4 linked regions of the Saccharomyces cerevisiae S288C genome follow. Changing the gene in region 3 together with the main gene of any one other region gives a genetic interaction. Each region holds a gene or a part of one and is shown on either strand. Other genes may lie near its edges. The genes, in order: HAP3, FTR1, FET4 and COA4.

What was found.
Region 1: mutations in FET4 (region 3) and HAP3 together harm fitness more than expected from each alone (negative genetic interaction), as found in Saccharomyces cerevisiae (2 studies listed by BioGRID).
Region 2: mutations in FET4 (region 3) and FTR1 together harm fitness more than expected from each alone (negative genetic interaction), as found in Saccharomyces cerevisiae (2 studies listed by BioGRID).
Region 4: mutations in FET4 (region 3) and COA4 together harm fitness more than expected from each alone (negative genetic interaction), as found in Saccharomyces cerevisiae (2 studies listed by BioGRID).

The regions. Positions count from the first base shown.
Region 1 is NC_001134.8:181,160-185,001, reverse strand, and holds HAP3 (Hap3p), read left to right. Parts: upstream 1-2,907; coding exon 2,908-3,342; downstream 3,343-3,842. Other genes in the region: DNA-(apurinic or apyrimidinic site) lyase APN2, read right to left, coding at 1-649; RFT1 (glycolipid translocation protein), read right to left, coding at 877-2,601; ATP-dependent Lon protease PIM1, read left to right, coding at 3,727-3,842. UniProt on the Saccharomyces cerevisiae protein: Acts a component of the CCAT-binding factor, which is a transcriptional activator and binds to the upstream activation site (UAS2) of the CYC1 gene and other genes involved in mitochondrial electron transport and activates their expression.
Region 2 is NC_001137.3:459,067-463,614, forward strand, and holds FTR1 (high-affinity iron permease FTR1), read right to left. Parts: upstream 2,675-4,548; coding exon 1,460-2,674; downstream 1-1,459. Other genes in the region: putative ubiquitin-specific protease UBP5, read right to left, coding at 1-1,157; YER145C-A (uncharacterized protein), read right to left, coding at 3,320-3,757; RNA-binding protein LSM5, read left to right, coding at 3,519-3,800; cohesin-loading factor complex subunit SCC4, read right to left, coding at 3,902-4,548. UniProt on the Saccharomyces cerevisiae protein: Permease for high affinity iron uptake.
Region 3 is NC_001145.3:912,249-917,261, forward strand, and holds FET4 (Fet4p), read right to left. Parts: upstream 2,291-5,013; coding exon 632-2,290; downstream 1-631. Other genes in the region: YMR320W (uncharacterized protein), read left to right, coding at 4,498-4,803. UniProt on the Saccharomyces cerevisiae protein: Required for Fe(2+) ion low affinity uptake.
Region 4 is NC_001144.5:572,328-576,231, forward strand, and holds COA4 (Coa4p), read right to left. Parts: upstream 1,592-3,904; coding exon 1,139-1,591; downstream 1-1,138. Other genes in the region: peptidylprolyl isomerase CPR6, read right to left, coding at 1-884; MSC3 (Msc3p), read left to right, coding at 1,824-3,904. UniProt on the Saccharomyces cerevisiae protein: Involved in cytochrome c oxidase assembly or stability.

The sequences.
Region 1 (3,842 bases), on a different chromosome or scaffold from region 3:
TCTTCTTCCCAATTTTGTCCAAATTCCGAACTCTTCTTAATAAAACTTTCAAGAACCTTAATCTAAACATCTCACCCTCCTCCGATGAGTTCGAATTTGCGGGACAATATACACTGATAATAACTATTCCACATGCCAGTTCAACCATAACACATCTGCCTTCTGAATCTAGTTCCAGTGCACTTTTCTCATCTAAATCGGGATCTAAAGAATCGTAACCACCAATTCCTTGATTTACGTCGTTTCTATAGGAGATTGCTGAATGCTTACCATTTTTTATTGTCAAGTAACCCGTTATACCTTCTTCTGCCTTAACGACTTGTAATGCATGGTATAGTGGGTGGTTCTTTTCCGGAATTCTAATCCAGCAGCCAACGCCAGAATATCCCTTTCTGGTTTGAGGGATAGAAATAAAAGAATAAAAACCATCAACTCTCCCCCACTTAGAGATAGACAATTTTTCCGTCTTGAGCTCTTGGAATGTTATTATGTCTGCTCGAAAAAAGTCGAAAACAGATCTAAGGGATTGATTCATTTGAGAAAATGGTTGATAATGAAAAAAGGTTCTTATACCATTGACATTGAAAGTTAAAAATCGTATTGTGTTCTCTGACTTTCCATCCAGTAACGTGTTTTCGCTTGATGACATAGTGTCCTGACAAGGAAAGGGATTTTCTTTACGGTGAAATAGCTTCTCTCTTGGTTGCCTATCTTTTATTGGGTAATTTTTCAGCACTTTCACATCATATAGTACATACAAACTAACTTTCTGAAGGACTAATAAATAAAAAAAAATGAATGCTTTTTGATAATATACTCACTATATGTTATTTAAGCGCATATTATGTGTCGCCTAAGTTATATAAGAATTTTTGTTTATACATCTTTAGAATTGGAAACCGCCCTCTTGTTAATAAAAGATTGTATGGTTTGGCGCTCCTTGACCAAAATTAACGCTAACAATCCCATTGCGAATAATACGTTAACAACAAATTGTTGTAAATTTTTAACGTACCCAATAAACCACCAGTCAAGTAGACAGATCGTTGAGCCAGCAATAATAACTGTTTTGAAATCCTTAAAATTGAAGAAAAAAGAGGAATCTGTAAACAGTTCCCTATGAAATTTATTCAAGAAAACTCCACAATACAATATTCTCAACACCATGTTAATGATGTTACTCAATATCAAGCCTTCGATTGATAGTTTGAGTTTTTCAATAAGAAGCCAGGAATTGAGCAGGAAAATACCAGAAAAGGCCATCATAAAATATGAATGTTTCAAAATTTGGTCACCAGTGGCTACACTCTGGAAAAAAGCTTCAAAAATACCATTAAGCGATAAAAATGGGATGTAAAAGCAGTAGACTCTTATAGTGTCCAAAACGGAAGTAGTGGACCATTTCGAGCCAATCAAGAACTGCAATAAAAAGGATGAATTGGCAGGCCCAAATACAATGATCATTAACGATAAGTATATGTAAAACCTTGTTAAATTCACCAGGACTTCAATAGATAGTTTTAAATTTTTAGGGTTATGCGAGGATAATAAACGGGCCAAAAATAACCGCAGAGATTCTTCGATCGGCGCAAATAATAATCTTGTTAGTAGCGATCCATAGTTCGACAATAGAGCGTAAATGCCTTGTTCTTCCACAGTACATAAAGAATTGATAATCAACTTATCACCCTCTGTCAACAAATGCTTAAAACATAGTTGAAAATAAACTTTTTTGAAGTGCTGTAAAATGTCGTTTTGGAAAAAATAAGATGTGCTCTTTGGGTAGCCTTTCTTCAATTCGTTATTTTCACGCGTTTTTATCTTCGTTAGCCTGGTACTGAACAATTTCTTTGGTTTGAAATTCTTGAGATAGTCCCAGTAGTAACATGCTAGCAGGGTGATCGAATGTGCTAACTTTCCCAAGGCAAATGCCAATATGGCGATGCCTTCTTTGTCAATGTCCGATGTGACAACCCCCATTGGGTAGCGGGATTGCTGAACGGCATAAACAACTATAAAATTGACAATACATCCTGTAGTCACCGCGATGCTTTCAAATCTTGACCTTGCGGCATAGTTCAACATAAACTGGTTGACGATGAAGAATGGCTCGCTTAACAGCTCCACGATGATACTCAGCCAGATAAGAAAAATCGACCACCTGAAGAATGGAAGAGTGATGAAATACGCGTTGATGTTTCTGTACTGCCAGGCGATAAGACCAATGGACAGTGGAAACCCGATCCAAAACGGAATGTAAGCAAAATTGACTGCGGTTTGCAAAACTTTAGACTTGTAATGAGTTTCCTGGTACTCCTCCTCGTCGTCATCATCGATTATTCCATTACCGGAGTCTGAGATTCTCAACGTCGACAGACGAATCGCATCTCTGCTAAAAAATAACACTGTGCCCTGTATAAATTCTAGAAAGGCCGTGATACCGAAAATTCTGGGCGACAGAAACCTGATCAACAAATTATTTAGTATGAACGTTACCAGTTTGGTGAAAAGTTGGCCCATCATGAGGAAGGTAGCTCCTGTTGTGGACCTTTCCAAGATCTGCTCACTAGTAGAGGGCAATTGTGAGTTTTTTTTCGCCATTTTTTCTTTTCCTTCACTGACAAAAGCAGAATCAACTTCAAATCACCCTATCTGTGGCCCTTTACTGCTACTAATACGCATTGTCTTCTCCAGGCTGCGATTACTGCAAACCTTCTGCCAAAATATAGCACAATAGAAGTACCATATTACGTTCGATGCCACGACAATATCGCGCTACGTGCGTTTTTTGGTCCGCTCTTTCAGACTAAGTAAAAAAAGAGCTGCGAATAGTAGCTTTCCGCCAATCAAACTCAAGAGCAGGACTAAGCTAGATAGTAACACAAGTGGCACAAACCTCTCGAGAATATGAATACCAACGAGTCCGAACATGTTAGCACAAGCCCAGAGGATACTCAGGAGAACGGTGGAAACGCTAGCTCCAGCGGCAGTTTGCAGCAAATTTCCACGCTAAGAGAGCAGGACAGATGGCTACCCATCAACAATGTAGCGCGACTCATGAAGAATACTCTCCCACCGAGTGCTAAGGTATCGAAAGATGCGAAAGAGTGCATGCAGGAGTGTGTCAGTGAGCTCATTTCTTTTGTGACTAGCGAGGCCAGCGATCGATGCGCTGCTGACAAAAGAAAGACGATAAACGGGGAAGACATTCTCATATCATTGCACGCCTTAGGATTCGAGAACTATGCAGAGGTGTTGAAAATCTACTTGGCTAAATACAGGCAACAACAGGCGCTGAAGAATCAACTAATGTATGAGCAGGACGACGAAGAGGTGCCTTGAGAAGACAAAACCAGGTGGTAGATCGCAAAAGTTGCTAGCTGTCAGGATGGAATAGCACGGGGCTATTTCCTGCTGGTCGTTGGTTCTCGTGTAATTAATGAATGTAACGATATAGATAATATTTTATTGTTAGTGTGTAATGTATTCAATGTAATGTATGGGTGCTTTGTAAAGGGTGTATGATGTTTGCCACCGGAAGGAAATAAGTCAGACGAAGTCTTTTAGCCATGCTTTTGCATTGGTATTGCAGCAACGACAAGCTGATACGGTTACTAGGACACCTAAAACCTGATAATACAGTGTGCATTTGCAGCTGTTTCAAAGTTTAGTTGTTTTTTCTTTTGGTTTTCGAGGTGCTTGAACGAAAAGATTTGCAAATAGAGCATGCTAAGAACAAGAACCACAAAGACCCTTAGCACAGTGGCGAGGACCACAAGAGCTATCCAATATTACCGATCTATCGCTAAGACTGCTGCAGTTTCTCAAAGAAGGTTCGCATC
Region 2 (4,548 bases), on a different chromosome or scaffold from region 3:
TTTTGAATGGTCGAGGGTGTATTGAGTTTTGAGAGAGTGGTTGGTGGATGTGGACTAAATTTTTGAACGGTGGGAGAATTTCTGTTGGGGCTTGGTTGCGGTATAATGGGCAAATCTGAATAGTATAAGGGTAATTGAGGCCTTTGCACCGTTGTTAGCAAAGGCTGCGTATTCATGGATACCATCGGCATACTCTTATCTTTATTTGGAGATAGAGATTTCTGATTGAACAAGCCTGTTGGGACTTGCGGACTACCAAAAGCTGGCGTTGAAGACGAGGATGTAAGATGCGCTGTTTCACTGACAGATGATTGATACGCCCCACCTAATTTAACCCAGTTTGAGAACCCATTTTCCAAAATGAGTATTTTCGTCCCACTCAGCGGTTTAATTACTGAATTTTGGGAAAGAATCTTCGCAAGGATGCGAGTTTGCCTTTGCTGGAAATTATTATGCAATTGAGTGTCAGTATATAAAATAATGAACTTGAACTTGTCTCGATTTGAAAAGAAAGTGATATCTGAGTGCGGCGAAGTGATCAAAGAGACACTTTCAATTTGTTGGTCTGTAAAAGAATCCTTAAATGAGGCAGGATCGATGCATATAATGTTTTTGCATTTGATATGGGCCCTAACGAATTCAGACCTGGGCCGTACATCGATAAGCAAGAGAGCGTCACCATGAAAATGCAACATTGAACTTAATTTTCCAGGCTCTATAGTTTGCAACTGTATAAATTTAGGGTAATTTTCAATGACATTTCGAATCCGCTCAATATTTGGGTCATTATGCAAAAGCTGGATTCTCTCCCCGTACAAATTTCTAACATTCTGGTCCTTGTTGCTCGAAAATTCCTTTAGTCTTGGTAGAGTATCCTCCAAGAGCGTATATACGATCATGTAATATAAAAAAGCTGTTTCATTCAATCGGAGAAACCCCTTTGACAACCGGTTTGCATCTTCTTTAGGGGCCTGCATGGTTATATCCTGGCATGCGTCCACATAACTAGACCATATTTCTGCGCATTCTTGGAGCAAAGGCAGACACTCTTGTGGCACGTCGTCATCATCAAGAAACTTCTGAACTAAATGCCTAAGCCTGCCGAACCGCTCTTTAGCAGATTCGACAACCTCACTTAAGGCTTGTTCTGAGCCCATTACGCTTGTGCCTATTTGTGTAGAGAGATAATAAAGAAAGGACTCCACATACGTTGGAGAATACCTAGCAACTAAATATAGCTGGTGTTTACTTGATGTGTTGAAGTGAGGCGCAAGGAAAAAAGAAAAAAAATCAATGCCCGGTAGATCAATTGGACCAGGGGTTCTTGTTTTGCGACGCCGTACAGACAAGGCCAACTTTATAAAAACGATATTAGAAATTATTGTATATATGTATATAAATGTAGTATTTTTATCAACAGAAAATAGGTGGAAAACTCCCACCCTGTGCTAGACTTCATTCAAAGAGAGTCGGCTTTAACGTGGAGGACTTCCTTGTCTGTGGCGACGTTTTGAGACGAGGAATGACTGGTAGTTTGCTCGGGAAGTTCGTAGTTCTCTTGCACATTGATCTCACCATCTTCATTGAAGTTGATGTTCTCCATCTTGGCAAACAGTTGTCTCTTTTGCTCTTCCGTCAACTCCTGCTTTTTCTTGTTCTTGATCCAGTATCCTGGGTTCAAGTGTTTCAATTGTAAGTTTTTGGTGAAAGGCAAGTGACCACGCCTTTCTTCGAATATCATTAAACTCAACACAATGATAAGAACCAACCAATAGATGTTGTAACAAAGCATGGATGACAAGTAGCCGGTGTTCTGCCATCCAAGCAAAGCATTGAAGATATCCCACCCATTGTCCAGTTCTGGGTTGCAACAATTGACATGGTAAACGGCCTTTCTGATGTTATAAGACCCATTACCATCACCGCCTTCGGAAGCATCACCACCACTGGCAAGGTTGAATCTGTAATTTTCAAAGTACCACGCACCACGAGAGAAAAGACCGGCGGAGATCAGGTACAAGATCGAAGTAGACAAAATCAAGAAAATCTGCAGCGAGGATTTCGAAGCACCATAGTACAACAAATACCCAACAAGACCACCACATATCAAACCAACCACAACGGGCAATGGGTAAGCAGAGGCGTGCGAGCCCTGTGTGGTAATACCTGCACCGGCAACGAACACAACAGCTTCCAAACCTTCTCTCAAGACAGTAATAAACGGCAAAAGGAACATAGCATATCTTCTACTCAAGAACCCAATCTTGAAATAGTCTCTCTTACGGTGAGGAATCTCCACCAACGACCGCGCAATCTTCACTCTCCACTTACTCTGCATCTTATTCATTCTCAACATAGGAATACCCATCATCGAGATCATTATCGTCGCAATCATACAAAAGATACCTTCCCACAAGTCTTCCGCGCTTCCGAAAATATCCTTCTGCAGCGAATAGTACGCACCGATGAAACCTGCACCGATGGCCAGACAAATGATGAACCCGAGTAACACACCGACCCAAACCTGAATCCTTAATTTACGGTACAGCGCCCGGTCATGTTCCCCGATTGCCTGTTTCAAAAACGATAGCAGCACGGAAATAACAATCACTGCTTCCAAGCACTCTCTGAACACAACGAAGAAAACGGCCACGTTAAACACTTTGTTAGGCATGGCGGGAAGTATATGTGTGATGACCTGCTGAGAGAAGATTTCGACAACGTACAATCCGTCGTGTTATGTATTTTTTTGCTCACATTGAGCATTTTATATAACTAAAAGCTCAAGGTCGAACTACAGCCCATCGCTTCCACCGGGCCTTGCAACACCAACTTAGAAATCGGGTGCATTCATCTACGCTGTGCAGAGAATGAAATGCGCACCTTCTTACTGCTGCGACGGTGCTCGGCACGGCTTACGCGGGCGGGGGAAGGAAATAGCGGCCTGGCGTGAGTCGGCAGTCAGCGGCGGGCTCACTGTACTCGCTCGTTTAATGCACCAGCAGTATTCGCGCACTTAATAATAGTATTTCTGCACCCTGGCCTGGAAAGAATGCTCGATGCGCCCTGGTTGATTGGCGCAGAGCGTGTGTCAGTGCCGGACCCGATTTCTTTTTTTCTACACGTTGGTCTGATGTCTCAGGAGTTAGTAGTGACCGTGGTCAAGAAAAAAACAGGACGAAAAATTGTTGAGAACGTATACGTATATTGTATTCTTCTTTTTTTTCTTTGCTGCCCTTTTATTATCTATTTCATTTTTTAACCAGAGGCAATCGTAAGAGAGAGATAATATAGCCCTTTTTGGTCTTTTTTGGCACCTTCAGCCGGACCCTGCTCTTTTATTACCCGGATGCTCGGGTTTTGTCTTTGCATCCGGGTAGCAAAACAGAATACTTGCTTTCTTATTGAAGTAGAAAAAATACAGAGAAAGCGAAAAAGGCTTCCTTGGCGGATAGATGGTCTCACAACAAGCATAGCGTATACACGTGCACTCACAAGCATACACAGAAGCGCGCAAAATGAGTCTACCGGAGATTTTGCCTTTGGAAGTCATAGATAAAACAATTAACCAGAAAGTGTTGATTGTGCTGCAGTCGAACCGCGAGTTCGAGGGCACGTTAGTTGGTTTCGACGACTTCGTCAACGTTATACTGGAAGACGCTGTCGAGTGGCTTATCGATCCTGAGGACGAGAGCAGAAATGAGAAAGTTATGCAGCACCATGGCAGAATGCTTTTAAGCGGCAACAATATTGCCATCCTTGTGCCAGGCGGCAAAAAGACCCCTACGGAGGCGTTGTAAAAAGGCAAAAATTAACGCGAATTTGTATAGTGCATCTAAAAAAAATAATTAAGTATAAAAATAGATAAAGGAAATCAAGTGTTTCTTTTTTTTTTTTTGGTTTATTGTTTGACACTGGTGATTTGCTTAACCAGCGCCTCCAGCTTCGCGTTCGTGAGAGCGACGTCTTTTCCCCGCATCGCCACCGTACAATTCATTAAATGCCATATTCCGATCACGTATTGGACCTTGCGCATGCCGCCCTGCTGGCGGCACATATCGAAACACTTTGCTGAAATCGCATAGATCTCGCCCAGATCGTGTTCGAGCATTCGACCGCCTAAGTAGTTTACCAGTATTTGCAGCAACAGAGCCTTCTTCAATTTGAAGCGGTTGTCCGCAACGGCTTCTCCGGCAACGAACTTGTTGCTAGAGTAGAACTCGCGGAGCTTCGACACGTACTCGGCGCGCTGCTTGTCACTACATGGCAGCGGGTTCCAACTGAACGGCTCGAAATGGCTGAAAAGCCATAGGATCGTTACTGTGCACTCCCATATGGGGTTGAACTGCAGATCCGTTTCTTGTAGCAATTTCTCCACCTGAAGCCACACCTTGTTGCATTGCTCTACGAGTTCGCCCTGTTTGTCCCCCGAACATCGGCTCACTCTTGCCGCCTGCACTGTGTAGCAATTCAGAAGCGATATCATCTTCACCTCGCTGGATGTACCGCCAGATTGTGCAAGCCGCGTGTACTCTTCTACGGCCCCGC
Region 3 (5,013 bases):
AAGATTGACGGCACTTCACCTCGAGAACTGTTGGTGCTTTTTTGCCTTTCACTTTTCTTTTTCTCCTATATTGTCGTATCGCTTCCAGATGTGAAAAATTGGCAATGTGATCTTCGGTCAAGGACGGACCGGACATATAAGCGGAGCGGGGAATCTTTAGTCAGCAATGGAAGTTCACACAGTAGAGACACAAATTGTGTCACAGTATATCACCCATTTACTGTAAAAAGATAAAAAGACCAGTAAATGTAACGGAAAACCATTCATTTTAACGGAGCCGTGACGAGAGTGGCTGTGATCGGAATTCCACGTCAAGGTCCTGGAAGACGGGGATCGGGGACTAAAAAAGAGCGTCGAAAGTATCCAGTACGTCATTACCAAGTTGAAAATGAAAAAAGATCAATTAGCCACATTTTATCCTGGATTTATTATCTATTATATATCATTTTAAATGGTTTAGGCTCCCAGAGAAAAAAGCAAAACTCAGGTGAGGTATATGTACAAACTAAATAAAAGTTCTAAGGTCGATCGCTACCTCCGTATAGAAATTCCTAAAATCCCTAAGGAAAATTAACTCCCTCATAAGTAACATGAGGAATTCTTCCCACTAATGCTAAAATGTTCAATGAAGCTATTTTTCCAACATCATAACCTCTGGGAAACGCTTTTCTACGTATGATAGAAGTATGCGCCTACGTGCGTACAAAGCGGTAACCTCCACTCTTCTTTGACGATCGGCCCAATTATGTGCTTGCAACAAAACTAGCAAGAAAAATTCTTCGATAATCATAGTTGGCGTGTTAGCAATCAATTGACCTGTTGTACTCCAACGCAAACCGGAAGCAATACAAATTAAACCAATGATGATGATGACGGATACAAGAACACTCCATGGAGTTGAGCAGATCCTATTAATATATTGGGATGTTCTGTAACCAATAGTGTTAATTTCAGGAGCTTTACCACTAAATTCTTCGGGACATTCAATACCTAATTCTTGGAATAATTCAAGGTCTTCTTTAGCCACATCAGAATAATTTTTCTCTTCATGTTGAACGATTCGGAAGTACACTTCTCTCAAAACGAAACCGTCCAAAAACCCAATTAAACCTGTGTATGTACCGATAATCAACCACCAATTATCATCCCACTTCATTGGCGAACCAATACCAATCCATGTGGCGAACACTGCCACACCAATCAGGACACCAATACCAGTACCAATAATATCAGCATACCAATCAATCATCTTTCTCCCTGTCGACCTTTTTTTAGATTCAATAGTAACAACTGGGTGAGGTGTTTCAAAATCGTTAAAATGCTTTCTTATACGATAGTCGATTTTCTCGTCCATATCAAAGATATCAACTAAAAACCTCCCCGTGAAATAATCATGTCTAGCCCTTATATTTTGTAAGAAAGTAGTGCAAATTAGAAGGGAAACTGCAACTGCAGTGTTAATATACATCTGCCAAGCGTCACTGAACTTTTTCAATCTTGGATTACTACCTGTAGTTTCTCCGGTGTAAGGTGGAGTGTTGCCCGCATCTTTTGGGATAGCACCGCAACCAATCCAAACGAAAATACCTATCCAAAATATCACCATTGCTGCAATTGAACCCATATACCTACTTGCTACGTTAGATAAACGGTCGTACCAATTTTCCACAGGCAGTTCTCCGTTAATGGCAGATGGGTCTATATGATTTTCAACAGAGCTGACTTCATTAGCTTCAACTGTGCAGTCTGCTTTTTCTTCCTCTGGGGTGCTTCTTGTTAGATAGTTTTTGAAGGAAGCCAATCTCGACTTCAATCTACCGCAGATCAAAATTTGTTCATGCGTACTCATCAACTGTTGTCTCATCAACAGTGTGTCCCAAACATAACTTTGAATAGACTGTCCGTCCTGCATAACAACTTGCCAATTGAAAGGTGCGTTATAAACAATACCAATAACCACCCAAATTATGAGGATGATCCAAACAATAAAAAAAACCGCCTGCGAACCGGCCACTCGTACCAGGAAATCCAGGGTCTTATCTGTGAAACCTTTGCTTAACCCGGTAAAACCTTTACTCGTGAAGATTGCCCCTGTTTCTGTTAAATTCACATTACAAAGTTCGTCATCAGTACTCTCATCGCTATGGCTGACTACTCTGACCACATCATCATTTTTGTAATCGTTAGAATCACCGAATTCTTCGTACTGTTTGCAGTCAACAGTAGGTGCTCTATGATGAACGTCAGGCCTAGCACCTGGATTCCCGAGAAACTCTGCAATTTTACCCATAATTTGATTAACGAATGTTTAATAATAAGGGTCTTATTAGGTTTCTATATCTACCTTTTCCCTTCTTATATCTGATACTGTTTGACTTATGATAAAAGAAACTTACTTACCTATCAATTAATTCATGCCGTGTGAAGTATATTTATATAAACAAGTATTTCTAAATGAAGAGCATCGAATCAAGATGTGGTAGATGCTAAACTAATGGGTGCAATTAAGAAGGCTTCTACCAAGCAAGTTCAAGGCCAGTAGCATTATATAGTTTTTTTGTCTTTATTTTTTTTTTTGGTTTTTTTTTTTTTCGTTTGAGAAAAATGCTGCTTCCTAAAAAGACTCAGCAAAAATGCTCATGACCTAATCAGTTTCGAGAGCAACCCCACGGGTAGGAAAGAAAGAGGCGCCAACGTTAAAGGAAACTGCCCATATCTAATACATAACCGCACAAGCTCCAAGCTCATTCAACACCTGTGTGATTTACGCCCCAATAAGGCTCAAGATTCCTCAATATTTTGTCGTTGTTCGAGCCATGAAAACCTCAAATTACTGCTACAGGACCCTAGGGTCTCGCTAAAAAAATGACTACGCGCGCTTATATAATTACTCGAATAAGACAAAAGAAAAAAACCCTTGCGATATGTCGTAGACACGTAAAAATGGCCCATTTAGTGGTAGTCGCAAACTAGAGGGGTAAAAATAACCTGTCCAGTACTGAAAGTAATGCTAGGGAAATGCGAATGACCGTACGTACACCTTCGTACATGCAGGTATTTAGGGGGCTTATTGTTTATGAACAATAGCACTATGCCAGGTCAAACATATCATGTTCGCGCAGTCTCCTCGTGGGATATATAAAGTGAACAAAAAGTGCACCCGGTTTTCGGAACAACGCTCTTCGCAACAAGGCAAAAAAGAAAAATGGGACAACGTAATCGGAGAATACCCAAAGGACATTATAATCCAATCAACGTAGTAGTACGTATGGTTAGAACAGCAAGCACAGATATTTGCTCATATGCAAGGAAACTGGTGTGATTAGAATGCCTTAAACATGAGTCCAATGTATGCGAATAAGATGCTACGTTGAATAAGCAGATCAAAGAACTTTTGGTAGGAAAAGCTTCTTTTTTTAAAAGCGCACGTTTCTTTTTCTTTGTTGGACCTTCCATCAAAATCCTTAATACGTGCAGCGAAGCAGCAACGCATTGACAGTTCATACAGGAAAGAGGAACAAATATTTTGAGCTGCTTGTCCCAGGAATCTAGGTGCTTACGTATCTTTTATTTTATTTAAATGTATGATCTTACCCACGATAATGGTCTTAGTACTTTAGTTTGGCAATGATGGAACCGGAGGACAACGGACAAAAGTTAGGGTATCTTTACTCTGTCACTGCGTATTTTTTGAAATACACTATTTTTACAAGGAGTTAAGCATAACAAGCACGTGCTGCAGATGTTTTCATTTAGTGAGTGAAGATCTTTATTCAAGTAATTCATCTTCATCCGTATAACTTCTTAGTAAAGCGACAAGGTCTGATGGCCGAATTTTTTTAATTTTGGCCATCGTATTAAAATGAACACTCTAAAGCCGAAATGAGAAAGATCTCGCTAATAGTAGGTTAGGACTCAATGGCTAGGTTATATTTTTGCCTTCGTGAGAGTAATTTACGTCGAGTAATGTCGCCTGACATCCATATCCCTTTGTTATTCTTCATTAAATGTCACTACAAATTCTGTCCTTACTGAAGTAAAGAATATTTGAAAATACTACACTGATCTTTAATTACTGATCTACAATAACACACAGTGTTGAAGGATAATTCCAAGACTCTCACCTGCGACTGGTCGTGTTAGGAAACCAAACTGAAATATGCTAAATTTCGAGTGAAACCTACCGGAATCGGTACATCTCCAGAGGATTTTAAGTGAAGATTTAACATCGTATAACAAGCATGCATAACTTGTCACTGGGATAAAGAGAAGGTACTAAATTTTCGTAGGCGACAATTTTCCATCTCATAGAGTACTCGAAGAAAAACATAAACACTATTAAAAATAGCTCCTAGTAAAGGCTTTTTGGATTCTAATTCAAGTTTACAAATACCTACCAACAACATTCTTGATATTGTAATCTGCTCTGAAGTAGATACCCTAACGGGATTGTTAAGTCAGGGAGCAGCGTAACGACATTCACGAAAAGCTCTAAAAATGCGTAGATTTGGAAAGCCATGTATTGTTTCACATGAAATTTCGGCCAGGCCTCACATATTACAGCCTTGTAATTATAAGATGGTGCTGAGTTGTAAGGTAAAAAAACCCATTGAGTTATTGCACCTTCAAGAGTTAATACTTTACACTTTTATGAAAATTTGCCTTCACGTAAACTTGATCCAGCAAAACATCAATAAGTTGTCATATATTTCTCGAAAATATCCAAGGGCACCTGCTTTTATCAGCTGCGACAATAGAGCCACGGAGCCAACAAAAAAAGGCTTTTTAGTTTGCCGCATGTAATGATTGGCGAATAATTTTTCAAGGTTATGATTGTTCTTGGGAACACAGATCACGGAATCCTTTTGCCAATAATACATTAGATGGAATATTTGGATACAACTTTCGAATATAACGCCTTTTGAGCTAGCAATATCGACTGTATGGGAATATAAAAGTTAATTTTAGGCAATTTAATTAATCGTGACTGGTCGGAGAAGGCGAGATTGTAGC
Region 4 (3,904 bases), on a different chromosome or scaffold from region 3:
TCCGATGAGGCTACTAATACTTGCTTGTAATCTTTTAATTTAAGAGCACAGATGGCAATATTCAATGGAATAGACACTTTCAATTGATTGATTTTTTCAATTTGTTCCTTCTCCAAATCTTCTGGGAAATACTCTTTCAAGAATTTATCACATTTGACATATTTTTCTAAAGCCACGGAATAGTTCTGTTTCTTGAACTGTTCAGTACCAATGTTCTTTACCGTTTCGATAGCTTTCAAGACGGTGTCGAAATTCTTCAAGTCAACTTTTTCGTCTTGTTTTAAAACATCTTCATAATTATCGCCGTACTCATCTGTTGGTGTAGCTTCGGCATTCTCTGGCACTTGATAATCGTCAGGTAACACGCCACAGTCATCAATCTTTACATCACGCAATGGCTTGTTGTTTTCTTGGTCACATTGTTGGTTTTCAATCAAACGAACAATTCTTTTACCTTGAATCACTTCACCAAACACAACGTGCTTCCCGTCCAAATGAGGTGTAGGAACACAGGTTATGAAAGCTTGAGATCCATTGGTATTTGGACCGGCGTTGGCCATGGATAGAAGGAATGGTTTATCATGTTTAACAGTGAAATTTTCATCCTCGAATTTTTCATCGTATATGCTCTCACCGCCAGTACCATTAAAATTGGTAAAATCACCAAATTGACACATGAAGTCTTTGATCACTCTGTGGAAAATGGAACCCTTGTACGACAATGGTACATCAGGTTTAGTCTTTGCCATACCAGCATTTCCTTCACACAACTTCAAAAAATTTTCAGCCGTTTTAGGCACTATGTCATTGTACAACTCAAAAACTATACGGCCTTGGGGTTTACCTCCAATAGAAATATCAAAAAAAGTTTTAGGTCTAGTCATTTTTACTCCTTGATCGCCTGAATATTGTCTTACCAGTTTTCTATGTGATGTGAGCGCATCAGCACCTCTGATATTCGACTTATTTAAATAATTTTCTGTCTGAACTTTCTCCAGCTAGGGCGGAAAAATATTCTAGAAGCTCATAGAAATGCCGTTCAAAAGCGTAACAGTTATGTTCTATAAAGGGAAACAATGTGTTTCGATCACTGCAGCTGTCTATTATATACAAGTTATACATCACGACATTTAGATTTTCATTTCTTCTTTTCCGAATCCTTACTGGTCGTCCCATCCACGTCCACTGTGCTTACGCGCTCTCTATTACCATTCTTTTCCCAACACTTCCTAAATAACGCCATCTCGTTGAAGCACTGCCTCCAGTCACCTGTTTCGGCATGGCACAGCTGTAATGCGAGGTTCTCTACGTAGCATCCGGTCTTGGATATTCTCGTGTCCCACACATCCGGGTCTTCGTCTTCTTGGACCTCTTTGTATTCTTCCAGCGCCTGCTTATAATACTCTGAAGTTTCGCCAGTTTCACTCATGACCAGTCTGCCAGTTTTAGCCTGCCAGAGCTTTTCTTTCCCTTTAATCTTCCCTTGTTTGGCGCAACTCTTAGAAGTGCCTTTCACTACCTTTAATGGCTGAGGCCCCTTTTTTTGTTTCGGACATTTGTTGTGAGAAAAAAAAGAAGAAAATAAAAGCATAAATGAAGCGAATGGATGAGAAGAGGGGAGGGAAAGCAAGAACGAGAAGGACAAACATCAGGGACCCATACTTCAATAAATTGCTTGATTTGGTGTTAATCAATTCTTCTAACATCAAACCTCTTTTAGTTTCCTTCGATCGTTTCACGTTGCTTATATTGATTGCTTTTTACTTCTATTTTTTCACTAGAATAAACAAACAAAGACATTCTGTTGATCAAGAAAGTTGAAAATGGTATTTGGTTTTACAAAGAGGGACAGGAGGGTACCTGATTTATCTAGGTATGATTACTACTATCAGAACCATGAAGATTATAACAAAAGTCCTCAGCTCTCTGCTGCTGCTGCCTCTGCTGCTTCTGCCGCATCACCGGATCGAACCAATTACTCAAGGTCGCACTCGCTGGTTAGTCATGCACCTTCAATACCGAGACAAAGAAGTTCGGTAAAGAGCCCAGGAAGAAGGCTTTCCACATCCTCTGCCGCTCCGCCAACGTCCAGGGCAGCAGCTAAGCAGTATTCACAGAAGACTTACTCGTTGAGGTCGCAAAGGAGCGGAGAGTACCATTTACACCCGCCCGGTTATACTACTAATGGGAGCCGTATGAATTCTATGACGTCTGGTGCGAATGTCAGAAGAAACTACGGTAAGAACAAATCGACGGCCGGCAACAATAACGATTCAAGGGCCAACTCCATTACCGTAAAGACTACACAAGTAACAGACCCTTCAGGAAGGACTCAATCAATTACCAAAAAGACAATAAGAAAAATAAATGGGTATGAATACGTAGAAACCACGACTACGACTAAGAATTTGGTTCCATTAGGTGACTCGCAGCGTCATTTCGATGAATTTAGTGAAAATTACATGTTGCAAGATGACGACATTTTAGAGGAACAAGCTAGTGATAACATTCACGATATAATCGAGGAAAACGAAACAGATAACGAAAAGCCATATTCCCCAGTAAGCGAAAGTCATTTACAAGATGATTCAGAGCTAAACGTGGAAAAACCAGATTTCCCACTTGGATCATATTTCCACCATAAGTATTCTACAGACGTTATGCCTCTAGAAGAAGAAAGTAGTTTATCAAACTTCAGTGACGCATTAGATTATATTCCTCCCACCCATCAGACCAGTAGTAAATATATTCATAATAAAAGGAAGCAAGCATCGACGACAAGAAGGAAGAAAAGACCGCCTGCCGTGAAAAACGCAGAAGCAGAGGCCAAGAAACCATTAACCGAAGCAGAAATGTATCTGAAGGCACTAGAGGTTGCTAAAAGAAACGTTTATCACACGGATGCTGCTTCGGATAACGCATCGGCCCCCCTCGGGAGTAACAAATCCAGGAAAAGTAGGATGGGTCAAAAAATGACCTTGAGAAGCAGTAGTGATTCTCCGACGGCGACTGCTAATCTTGTCAAATCTAATGTCGAGGTTCAACCAAAAAGATTTACAAGTTCCTTCTTCAGCAGAAATACTAAAAGCGCCCCCCATGAAGTGCACAATCACTCTGTGTCTACACATTTTAAATCGAATAAGGCTGTTGACCCAGTTCCAGAGCCTAAAAGTGCAAACACAGGGCTAACAGATAAAGAAATGTATGACCAAGCTTTGAAAATCGCACAAGCGAGGTATTACAACTCACATGGTATTCAACCTGAAGCAGTCGATAATAGCACTACGGCGGCTAAACCTCGTCAGGTCGGCGTTAGCCATCTGGGATCCACTGGGAGCATCCCGCCCAATGAGCAGCACTATTTAGGGGATTCTGAAATTCCAGTCCAAAGCGAAGTGCATGAATACGAGCCCATTCCATTGCAGAAGACAAAAACAACTGGTTCTTCCAAAAATAAGTTCAAAACCATGTTCGATAAAGTGCTGCAATTCTCTCAAGAAAACTACGGCTACCAGCACAAGAAGGAACAAGGCGAACAAACTCCAGTTACTCGTAATGCTGAAGAAAGCTTCCCAGCAGCGTCTATTTCGGAAGGTGTGACAACCGCAAAGCCATCTTCAAACGAAGGTGTGATGACGAATCCAGTAGTTACAGATTCACCTTCACCCCTTCAACAACAAATAGACTCGACTACTGCGTCCTCGAATGGGCAAAGTCAGGGCAATGTACCTACCTCCGCAGTAGCTTCAACAACGAGAACAAGATCACCGGAACTGCAGGATAATCTAAAGTCTTCTTCTTCGCTTTTACAGGACCAAACCCCTCAGCGTCAGGAAGACGCCACGGATCCAACAACATCATCGACGAATGAATTATCTGCCGCTGAGCCAACAATGGTCACTTC